3 linked regions of the Caenorhabditis elegans genome follow. The protein of the gene in region 1 purifies or fractionates together with the protein of each later gene. This does not show direct contact. Each region holds a gene or a part of one and is shown in the gene's direction. Other genes may lie near its edges.

The links. The genes of interacting proteins can lie anywhere in the genome.
Region 2: the proteins of rps-19 (region 1) and eef-1B.1 fractionate together in Caenorhabditis elegans (co-fractionation; one large-scale study listed by BioGRID). This does not show direct contact.
Region 3: the proteins of rps-19 (region 1) and E04F6.6 fractionate together in Caenorhabditis elegans (co-fractionation; one large-scale study listed by BioGRID). This does not show direct contact.

What each region holds. Positions count from the first base shown.
Region 1 is NC_003279.8:9,624,228-9,627,594, reverse strand, and holds rps-19 (Small ribosomal subunit protein eS19), read left to right. Parts: upstream 1-1,798; 5' UTR 1,799-1,803; coding exon 1,804-2,014; intron 2,015-2,057; coding exon 2,058-2,227; intron 2,228-2,428; coding exon 2,429-2,488; 3' UTR 2,489-2,527; downstream 2,528-3,367. Other genes in the region: Protein hsr-9, read right to left, coding at 1-456, 505-933, 978-1,044, 1,092-1,128, 1,296-1,320; T05F1.2 (F-box associated domain-containing protein), read right to left, coding at 2,989-3,185, 3,231-3,367.
Region 2 is NC_003281.10:7,971,493-7,974,938, reverse strand, and holds eef-1B.1 (putative elongation factor 1-beta/1-delta 1), read left to right. Parts: upstream 1-1,552; 5' UTR 1,553-1,668; coding exon 1,669-1,745; intron 1,746-1,863; coding exon 1,864-2,294; intron 2,295-2,341; coding exon 2,342-2,475; 3' UTR 2,476-2,557; downstream 2,558-3,446. Other genes in the region: aco-2 (putative aconitate hydratase, mitochondrial), read right to left, coding at 1-23, 93-351, 1,007-1,092, 1,137-1,214; F54H12.5 (uncharacterized protein), read left to right, coding at 2,837-2,970, 3,015-3,209. UniProt on the Caenorhabditis elegans protein: EF-1-beta and EF-1-delta stimulate the exchange of GDP bound to EF-1-alpha to GTP.
Region 3 is NC_003280.10:7,196,502-7,201,140, reverse strand, and holds E04F6.6 (uncharacterized protein), read left to right. Parts: upstream 1-1,575; 5' UTR 1,576-1,775; coding exon 1,776-1,867; intron 1,868-2,062; coding exon 2,063-2,161; intron 2,162-2,206; coding exon 2,207-2,368; intron 2,369-2,413; coding exon 2,414-2,551; intron 2,552-2,598; coding exon 2,599-2,848; intron 2,849-2,899; coding exon 2,900-3,232; intron 3,233-3,386; coding exon 3,387-3,620; 3' UTR 3,621-3,749; downstream 3,750-4,639. Other genes in the region: pcrg-1 (Parkin coregulated gene protein homolog), read right to left, coding at 1-14, 84-179, 284-419, 475-530; maoc-1 (MaoC-like domain-containing protein), read right to left, coding at 3,750-3,938, 4,002-4,479, 4,526-4,639.

The sequences.
Region 1 (3,367 bases):
AACAATGGGCGTTTTCGTTTCATCTGCATTCACTTCCGATTTTTGCCCACGACCACCACGGCGTGGAGTGTTTGACGAAGGAGTAGACGAAACAGTTGCTGAAACTCTTTTAGCGCGACGAGTGCTGCGGCTAGAAGATTGAGATTCTTGGTTCTCTTCATTTGCTTCTGATTCTCCATCTGGCGATTTTGAATCGAGACCAATTTTTTGAGAATCATCAACACTGTCTTGTGAAATCTCACCAACGCCTGGTTCAGACGCCTTGTCATCATTAACATTCTCAATAGGTTCACCACTATCTGCTTGCTCTTTCACTGGACTTTCTACTTCAACCTCATTTTCGGGTTCCTCTGTATCGTCCTCATTCTCTGGTTCTTCTTTCTCGTCGCTCACACTACCTCCTTTTGGAGAATCATCTTCATGCAGATCGTCGTCATCTGACGTTGACACTGCCTTCTTCAATATTAATTGATTAAAATTAGGTTTTTCGAATTATCAACAAACCTTAGTTTTCTTTTTTGGAGCTTCGTCTTCGTCGTCTTCTTGCACATCATCAATATCTTCTTCATCTTCATCTCCAACCACCTTTTCTTCATTTTCTTCAGGTTTCTCGGTATCATTTGAAACAGAAATCGATTCAGCAATGTCTAATTTATCGTCACTAGTATCCATCGAGATAATTTTTTTCTCGAAAGTTTCTCCCTCTCCTTCTTCAATTGGTGATTCAGACTTTTCCGAGTCGTTCATGCTTTCTCCAGATTTAGCATCCTTACCGGCTGAACATTGTGGCTCATCTTCTGCCTTTTCTTTATCAAGTGCAGTAACATCGGCAGCTACATCTGGCTCGTCTTCCGCTTCTATGATAACTGATGACTTGGTAATGACACTCGAATCGACTATGTGCCCATCAGGAGTTGAATCTCTAGCTGGGGTCTAAGTAAGCAAATTTTAGATTAATACAAACACACTGGACTTACAGAAATCACAGCAGAGTTCCCAAAAAGACTCCTACTTTTATCCAGAACTGAAGTTGTTGTGGGGAGGCTGAAATAGTGGGATAAATATGTATGGATACTCGAAAAGCAGGTAACCTTGTCTGTGTGACGGTGGAGTCGTCTTCTTCGAATTCTGAAAACAGAAAATAAAAGGAAAACTTCACGTAAGTTAAGTTTAATTTTTAGAGTCGATATTCACTTCGAGTGACCACCTTAATTTCAATAAGGTTGAATTTTATATGCTTGACCCGCAAAAATATTAATTAACCTTTCACATTCTTATTATATCGAAAAAATTACCCATAGTGTTCGAAGACGATGCCATTTTCCTCCAAGCAGTTCAGTTCTTCAAGTCTATGCTGTAACATATGTGTTTAATTTTGCCATTTTAAGCGTAAAAGTGTCTGCGAAACAAAAAGTTACGACGTCAAAAAAAATCGTTTGAAAATTCAATTCAAACGCCCGCCCCCGCTGTTCAAAAAATGTACTGAGTGTCGCCCGGTGCGTTGCGGTCGCGTGCCGAGTCGCTACGCAGCCAATTGGTATGCAGGTTATGTCTTACGATCAGCGGTGAAGAATTTTTTCGTTTCTTTTCCTACAGGTTTTTTCAATTTTTTGACGCGATTTTCACGGTTTTTCGAGTTTCTATGTATTGATTGGGAGGAAATATGTTACGTTTACAGTTTTCTTAAATAATATCCACTTTCTGAAGCGCTTGTTGTTAAGAATAGTTTTTTTGGCAGTGGGTTTTCTTTCCGTCTTCTAATATACGATTTTTTCAAAGCTATACTTTTCCTTTTCAGGTAAAATGACGAGAGCGACCTCCATCAAGGACGTCGACCAGCACGAGGCTACCAAGTCCATCGCTCACTTCTTGAAGAAGAGTGGAAAGGTTAAGGTTCCAGAGTGGTCCGATCTTGTTAAGCTCGGAGTCAACAAGGAGCTTGCCCCAGTCGATCCAGATTGGTTCTACACCCGTGCTGCCAGTCTTGCTCGTCACTTGTATTTCCGCCCCGCCGGTAACTTTTTATTGACAAAATCATTACTTATTTTTCTATTTAGGAATCGGAGCCTTCAAGAAGGTCTACGGAGGAAACAAGAGACGTGGTGTTGCACCAAACCATTTCCAAACCTCAGCTGGAAACTGCCTCAGAAAGGCTGTTCAGCAACTCGAGAAGATCAAGTGGGTTGAGAAGCACCCAGACGGCAAAGGAAGAATTCTCTCCAAGCAGGTGAGTATTCTATTTTATTATCTAAAAATATAAAATTCGAACTTTTTTGTAAAAATAAATTATTAAAAATTATTCATAAATATATGCGCTGAAAATTAAACATGCAAAATTAGATGTTTATATTAAAATTAAATTTCTGCATGTTTTCTTTTTTGAATTTTCTCGAAATTTTCAACATCGTACTAAAACTAAATTTTGCAGGGACGCAAGGATCTTGACAGAATCGCCACCAGCCTCAGATCCTCTGGACAACAAGCCTAAACACTCGTTGTTTGTGTTATAAATGTTGTTGTTATAAAAAACTTCATGATACATCTCCATTAACAAGAAAGTAAGATGATGGCGCAAATTATGAATCAGAAAAAAAAGTTATTAAAGAAAAACTTCGCCCGAAACGTTTGAATATATACACCTGTATAGTTCTCACTTTTTTGAATAGTGAAATAATCAGTCTACAAAATATTATACGTCTTTAGTGGACCTTAGAACAAAGCTACAGAACTTGAATACAATCATTAATATATCTACTTGCTCTTCCGAAATCAAATTTGAAACATTATTAGCAGAAACTAACTTCCTATTCTGATACCCAAATTATTTCGCTAAACATCGCGAAAGGCATTTCTGATAAAGAAAATAAAATACAGGGTTAAGCTATTTATGGTTTCACAAACTTGCGATCAATTGGAAGTCGGAAAAATTTTAAAGATTAGTTATCATACAACGATAGATACAATTTTTAAATGAATGTTGGTGGACATTTATTTAGATGTAGAAAAGCGGAATCTAGCAAGTTCGCATGCGAACTTCTCGTTGTGAATTGCCGTGAACAAAATGTTCTTCTTATCTTGGGAAATCTGGAGCAATGCACACGCACCTCCGTGCCAAACAGTCCTACCCGGAGTAGATGATACCTCGCCATTCGATGAAGTTCCTGATACACCCGAACCAGATCGGTCTAAAAATTCAACTTTTAACTAGAAATAATTATCTAGAAATAAACCTCGAGATTGAGTCTCATCACTTGAGTTTTGTTTACTGTGCTGCCCTGAGGACATGTTTTTGGATTCGGCGTTCGTCGGAGTAACTCCTGCTTCTTCTATATTTGATTCCGATGGAGGAGTCGAAGGTCCGGAACCA
Region 2 (3,446 bases), on another chromosome or scaffold:
TTGAAGACTTCTTTGTTGAGGTCCTAGAAATCGAAATATATTTAGGGTGAAGAAAATTTAAGTAAAATAATTTTTTCGCAAATATCACAAACCTTAGCACGGGCCAAATCTTGGGCTCCACCCTTTTGAGCTTCAATCAAATGATCGCAATGAATAGTTGATGGAACAGCTGTCTTTGGAAGTCCGGAGCTGATGAATTGGAGCATAGCCATTTGAGCGGTAGCATCTTGCATAGCAACACGATCTGGACGAAGACGAAGGTATGAAACTCCTCTCTCAATATCTTGAGTTTTTGGTTGATCCAAATGTCCATAGAGAATCTTTTCGGAAAGCGTCAATGGACGTTTCAATCTGAAACAATATATTTTTTGTTTTTATCAGTAGAAAAACTAAAATCTATTTTTAAAGTTTTTAGTTAGACTTAACGATGTTTCCTTCATGAGTTCAAAGTACTGTCACACGGCAAATATCACCTCGGCTTCAAAGTTCGACCAGTCTGGAGACTAGAGAATGTGGTCCACATGAATTTCTATGCAACGTTCAACTAGATAATTTTCATAATTTCTATTGTGACATCACAATTAATGACACCAGAAATTAGATTTTGCATCATCAAAAGTTGAAAAGAATAGTGATGTACACTTATGAAACTGTATTATGGTCAAAACGCCCTCTCACAACATGTTGACATTAATCAGAGAACAGAGATGGAAAAGATTCGACGTTTTCTTGGTTCTCTCAATGACGCTCTAACCCATCTTCTTATTACAACGGAACTCTGTTTGTTTCTCTCTGCGACCCTTGGCTTGTGACTGCGATTTGGGTGAGCTTTCACTATTCGAGAGTTAGAAATAACATAAAAGAACCTATAACTGAACTGTATGTGTTGTAATGTCAGTGGCGCACATGACTATTCACCATAAACATCATTAATTGTATGATAACGAACAGAAAGCAGTGAAGATACTTTGTACTTGACAAGCTAAACAAATTGAACTTTACACACCTGTCTTTCACAATCTTCACAGTCTGAGATAGTTTCTCGTACGGGAGGTACGACTTCGGCTCGAATTTACTGATTGCAACTTTGCTCTGAAAACAAAAGATTTATAATAATTATGCTTAGGTTTGAATACCCAGATGGACGAAGAGGAGTGAAGTGCGCGATAATGTGCAGGTCCAGCCAAGTGGCTCAACCGAAGAAGAGAATTCATGGTTTCTCCTGTAAATTACAGAACAATGAAAGATTTTCACAGAAATTCCTGTCCGACAAAGGGAAAGAAATAGAACCTATTTAAAAAAATTAAAAGAAAGGATAATATTCATAAACACAGGCCTAAAACTTAATTTGGAACAATTAAAAAGCTTTTCTCTGCAGTAAATAACCCCTCGGAACGAAAACAAGTGATTCCGCAGCGAACCGAAAAGAAAATGATAACGCATCGGTCAGCAGAGACGGCGTGCATGCCGAAAATGAATGGGAGGAGAAATGAAAGCGCGAAACTTGGGCGCCTCCGGTCAGCAAACACGCCATTGAATGATCACTGGCGCTATGCTCGTTTGAAGGCGCATGGGGTTTCGACAGACTTTGAGTCTCGCAACGATTTTATTCACTAACCTATTTGTAGGACTTTTAGCATCATTCCTTCGTGTTTCACTCCTGAAAAGATGGTTGCCGACGTCAAGAGCCCAGCTGGACTTGCTGCTTTCAACACTACTCTCGCCGAGCAGGCTTTTGCCACTGGGTTAGTCTTTAAATTCTGAAGTTATGCAATTTTTAGGAAAAAATGCAGAAAATAGGTGTAATCAACTCTTGTAAATTTTTCAGATAGTCTATTCATTGAAATAATTTGAAAATTATAGCTTCGTCTTGTCTGGAGAGGACGCCCAACTTTTCGCCGCTCTCGGATCCGCCCCAAACGCCTCCACCTATCCAAATGTTGCCCGTTGGTACGCTAATGTAGCTTCTTACACTGATGCTGAGCGCAAGACCTGGGCTTCCGCCGGAGGATCAGCTCCAGCTGCCGCTGCTGCTGATGGAGATGACTTCGATCTTTTCGGATCCGACGATGAGGAGGAAGATGCCGAGAAGGCAAAGATCGTTGAGGAGCGTCTCGCCGCTTACGCCGAGAAGAAGGCCAAGAAGGCTGGACCAATTGCTAAATCTTCAGTCATTCTTGATGTAAAGCCATGGGACGATGAGACCGACCTCGGAGAGATGGAGAAGCTCGTTCGTTCTATCGAGATGGACGGACTTGTCTGGGGAGGAGCTAAGCTTATCCCAATTGGATACGGTTAGTGGATTGAAATTCACACAATTAAAATTTATGTAAACTTTCAGGAATCAAGAAGCTCCAGATCATCACTGTTATCGAGGATCTCAAGGTTTCGGTTGATGACCTCATCGAGAAGATCACCGGAGACTTCGAGGATCACGTCCAATCCGTCGACATTGTCGCCTTCAACAAGATCTAGAGGAATCTTTATATTTCTTGTTATGTTTTCATCAAGATAAATGAACCCATATATTGCAAAAAATGTTACAACATTGAAAGAAACACTCTGAGCATCAATAAGAAATCCTCCCGACTACGAAAGCGAAAAAAATTGTTTTTTAAAGAACTATGATTAAATTAGAAGCACAGTTCATTCTCTTCTGAAAATCGTATGAAGTCTCATAATTGCACAAAGTTACGATATAAGAATAATTGGAAGGGGTAGACTGAAGTGGGCAGGGTCACCACTATACAGTCCAGATTCCCGTTCGCAACGAGACCATATATTTTTACCTTGTGGGAAAACCAATCGATGTTTTCTAATAGTAAGTAGACCCCGCATGCTGTTCATCTCGAGATCTCTTCTCCCCATTTTGTATTTCCAGTTATTCAAAAAAATGTCACCTTTTCGTTTATTATCACTTCCTACACTTGCTTTGAAGAATGTACTTCTTCATATAGACTTTATTGATTTGTAAGTTAATACTTTATATAATAAGACAAACACCTTGAATTCAGGTTGGAACTATCACTTGCTTCGAAAAAATGTGAAATTTACATGAAAACTTGCTGCTTAAAAATTGATTCCTTGCATTTTCATTTTCGACGTATTCAACTAAACTCAAAATCCAAATCATTAGAGTTTGATTTCAATTCTGTTGTCGATATTTCTGCGTGTTCACGAAAAGTCAAGGGCAGCCGATATGACGCATGGTAAGTGTTGGGACATATAATATATGTACATATATTTCATTCAAGTTACAATTAGGTTGGTCCTCGCTTAACATCTGAGGATTCTGGCTATTTTTTCACAATAAAAACACTGCAGAATTTTTGTGACTTTAATATTTTCGAAAACAATTATTTTCTGACGCAAAATACTAAAAAATACTGTACCCCGTCTCGACCCGACAAATTTTGTTTTGTTTTCTCGCGAGATGTTTGCGCCTT
Region 3 (4,639 bases), on another chromosome or scaffold:
CAGTCATCAGATACCTGATAGCTAAACGATTAAAAACGTTTGAAGAAAAATAAATGAATCTAAATAAAGAAAGGAAAACTAACATTAGAATCAACGCTTCTGGTACGGCTGGGAGCAATCATTGGTAATGGGACAACACTTGTATTTTGTTGATACGATTGATAGGAGAATGGAGGTACCTGAAGTTTAGGAAACGATTTTTTTTTTGGAATATAATTAATACAAGCTCTCGCAGTATTTCTAAACTGTTTCTCTCATATTCGAATTTGCCCTATAGAGTTACCTTTCGAACAGCAGGATCTCGTGGGAGACTCGACTTTATTAAACGAATATTCTCTTTTACAATATCTCTATTCCGAACGTAGTATCTTTTTGATGTTGTCCAATCGGAAATATCCGAAAAGTAATCGACAGGCTTTCTGGAATAATTTCGAAATGTTAATAAGAATTAAAAAAATGTGGATATCAACTGACACTAATCTGATAGCTGGCAAAGACTTCTCTCGACATTCTCTATTAATTTTTGCCATCCCAGACGAATATCACTAGGATTAGATGGAAGACAGCGTGATGGAATTTTAAAGAAGCCTTGTGAGTGAAAAATATGTATTACAGAGTCAACATGTCGTGAGCATAAGTGTCAAAGGGCTCTTTGATAGAGGAAATAACATATTTTATGGTTCACAGAGCACCGTTTCCTGTCGACTTTCAAAATGTTGCAAAAGCATGACGATCAGAGTAGGCCCTATGCTGTTCTAAGGAGCGTCTCTGTGCTATGACTAAAACTCCAAAGAGTACCCAACCTAGAGGGTGACACTTTCTGCCAGTGGTCCAGGGACTTTCGCTCACAGTTAGCGCGCTCAACAGGGAACGTTTCGTGGCTGCGAGTACTCGCCTTGCCGTCATGCGGCCTTCTCCCTCTTCTCCTCTTGTTTATATATACACCCGCTTTGATGCGGCAGACACTTTGAGGGTTTCGCCTGTCACTATTGTTGTAAAGGGTACACCCGCCTATATCTGACAGAATGAGAGGAAATTATTATTTTTGTGAACCTCGTATTGGTTATAATTGAAGAAAATATTTTTTGTTCTGTCACATACGCGAAAATTTCGATTTTTGAGCCAGAAATTCGGGATCTGCTCTCGACACGACACATTTTTATTAAATACAAAAAAGTGTGTGCCTTTAAAGAGTACTGTAGTTTCACATTTTTTCATTGTTTTTCTCTCGATTAAAAAAATAACAGTTTTTTCTGTTAACTCGATGAAAACTGTTCTAGTTTGAAACTACAGTACTCCTTAAAGGTGTACACTTTTTTGTATTTAACAAACATATTTTTTCCCAGAAATATCAAAAAATTCCCGACTGGGGAAACTGATTTTTTGAAGCATTTTCAGTATTATCGAAATAGTACCTTGAAAGTTTTTCAGATAATTTGAGATAATTTGAGATTTTAAAACCCTTTAAAAAACATGACTCAACACGAAGGATTCTGGGAATTTATTTTATATTTGATTTCACACGCACTTGGTTCACAATGTAATTCCAATCATTCTCTTAATCACAAACCATAGGATTATTATCAATGCTTAGACAATAGGAGGCTATACAAACTACAACATCATCTATTATTTTCTACCGGTCAGCAAGGTCATACGGGCGGTTGACTTGAAGTGAAGACGTCGAGAAACCCTCTGCAGTAATCATTATTTTGTTGCTAACTAACCTTATCAGTTAAACTCAGTACTGCTTTGTCTTCTCAGCTTTTTTGACGATGTTTCGTCAACTACTTCCATTCCTCATTTTATTGATTTGGAGAAGTGAAGCTCGACCTCAGGATGGAGGTGAACCAATTCCAATTTCAAAGTAAGCTTAAAAAGAAAAAGTTATTGAAAATTTTTATTTCCGCGGAATTTTTTAATAAACTTATAGATAAGTCTTTTAGCGTAAACAAGTCTTGTGAGTATATTTTTCAAATTTTATATTAATTTTATGCTCGACAAATCTGTAAAAAAGTTGCCAAAAAAATTCCGATATTGTCTTATAACTTAATCAATTTAGAGACACATCACCTGGAAGACCAGTTTATAATCATTCTCCAAGTGAATTCGCACGGGGACAAGTAGAACAGACAACCCAAAAACCTAGAAGAAGGCATAGGTGAGCGAGATAATTGAAGATCCAGAAATAAGTTATATGTTCCAGACATCGGCGTCCAAGTTACGATGATGCTTACGAGAGACAGATGGAACAATGGAGACAACAGAGAAAAGAAGCGAATAAGGCTCGACAGGCTGCTTCAGACCAATATTATCAGGATTATTTCGATCGAATGAAGCAGTATGCAATTAATACACATGTTAGTCGGTGAGTAATTGAAACTTTGGAAATATTCAAAACTTTATTTTAAAGTTATAACCAACTTCTTGCTCAACAAGAAAAGGAAAAACAACGATTTGCACAAAATATGGAAGAATTTGGATTGAGGAGCTCTGCTCTTGGAGTTGATCGAGCTGATATTGATAACAGTGAAGTATCTCAGAGACCAAGGTACCTCTAATAATTCAGAAAATATTCATAATCGTCTGATATTTCAGTTCACCATTTGGAGGTATAACTGATAAGTCACAGATTGATCAGAAGGCAAAGGCAGCTGATGTTCGAGGAATGATTGTGAATAGACCACCATCAGCAATTGAACCACGTCCAGAAGATGCAGATGTACACAGAAAAGCTTTACACTTGGAAGCACTGTGCAATCGATTTTTACCAACTGTCAGGAAGCATTGTTTCGGTGGGAATAAGACAGAGGAAAAGTATGGAAGCAAATGTAAGGGATACTTCCATGTGAGTTTCTAGAAATTGAATTTATATTATATTTGAATGGTTTTACTTTAGGATTGTCAACGATTCCTTCCAAAGTCAGATCCACTTTATAATATTGCATATGCATTTGATTCAAATGTAGGTCTCAACTTGGGAACATGGAGTGTGAAAGGAATTCCGTACTATCCAATTAACGAAGAAGGAGCAATTGGAGCAGGAAGGCTCATGAATGTTCCATTTGGTTCATGGGGAGGAGGTTATTCCGATCATATTGGTGTAAGAGACTATTGGTCACAATATCAAGAAATCGGAGCAAATTGGTATGAAGGAAAATATGGATATAAGTCTGGATGGAGTGTTCCACTTGTACAATCACTTGGTATTGAAGGAGACACACATGCTGTTGTGAGTTTTTTTAATGCAGAAAATTTATTACTCGAACTTTTTCAAATTTGGCGGTTCATAATTTGAATTCGAGTTTAGAGAAGCATTGCGTACATTTTTTAATATTTGAAGCGGTGTGTGACAAGTTGAATAAGTTCCTATCAAAATATTTCAGGTGAGTGTTCCCCTTAAACCTGGAGAGGCTGGAAAACCAATTGGCGTAGATGTTGGAGGTGGAGTTGGACCTTATTATCAACAGAATCAACACGTTGGAGTTGATTATCTAAATGGTCAAGTTGGTACAAACTTTGGAGTTGGTGTTCCGATGGCTGGTGTTGGGGTGAATACAGGTGTTGGTGTAACATTCCCAGGAGTCAATGATATTGTTGGGAAGAAGAAAAGGAAATAATAATCTTCAAGAGAATTTGTGGAAAAAGAAAAAAACGGTTTATTCACATATGATATTCAGGAAACAAAATACGATAAAACTAATACGATCTACTTAATCTTACCAGTGAATAAATAATTCTTTAAATTTTTACAATTTTGATGCAAGATCAATTGGAACTGTTGGAAGTTCGGAAGCCTCGTGCAAGTCAATAAAGGCGTTGGAAATTACAATTTTTCCAGTTTCCTTAACCTTCATTTGGAAAATAATTCGTTTTCCATTCTTCCAGGTTTCAGTAACCAATGTTTGTCCTGGAAGCACTGGCGATGAGAATCGAACCTGAAAATTAATGATTTTTGAATCAGCAGAAAATATTTTAAAGTTAAATTTAATCAAACCTACCTTGATTGCTTTGAATTTGTCAGAATCATTTCCAGCCCAAGCAGCGATAACATGGCGTGTCGCAAATCCCAGACTGCACAATCCATGAAGAATTGGAGTTTTGAATCCAGACATCTTAGCAAACTCTGGATCAACGTGAAGAGGATTCATATCTCCTGATCCCAAACGATAAAGAGCAGCTTGATCAACTGTTGTCTTTTGTTCAATAACTGCATCTGGAGCTCTATCTGGGACAGTGGCAGCTTTTATTTCATGAGGTGATGTACGATCCCCTCCGAAGTTACCAGAACCGGTTTGAAAAGTACTGAATTGTTGCATTGCAATCTTCTTTCCATTTTCATCATAAGTGGTAACATTTCCAAGAATCAAAGCACCGGATCCTTTGTCAAGAATATCAACGACTCTAGCTTCAGATTTCAATTTTCCTTCTGCTGAAAGTGGTTGATAGACTTCAATATATTGTTCTCCGTGAAGAACTCTAAAATGATTAAACATGTGTTTTCAAGAAATCTTATAAGAAAAACCTCTGAAGATCAAATTCAACTCCTGGCCAATCCATCAAAGTGTGAGCTTGAAATCCTGGAGCAACAATGTACGATGGAAGCACTTTAAAGTCTTCATGGTTCTCATAAACGTAG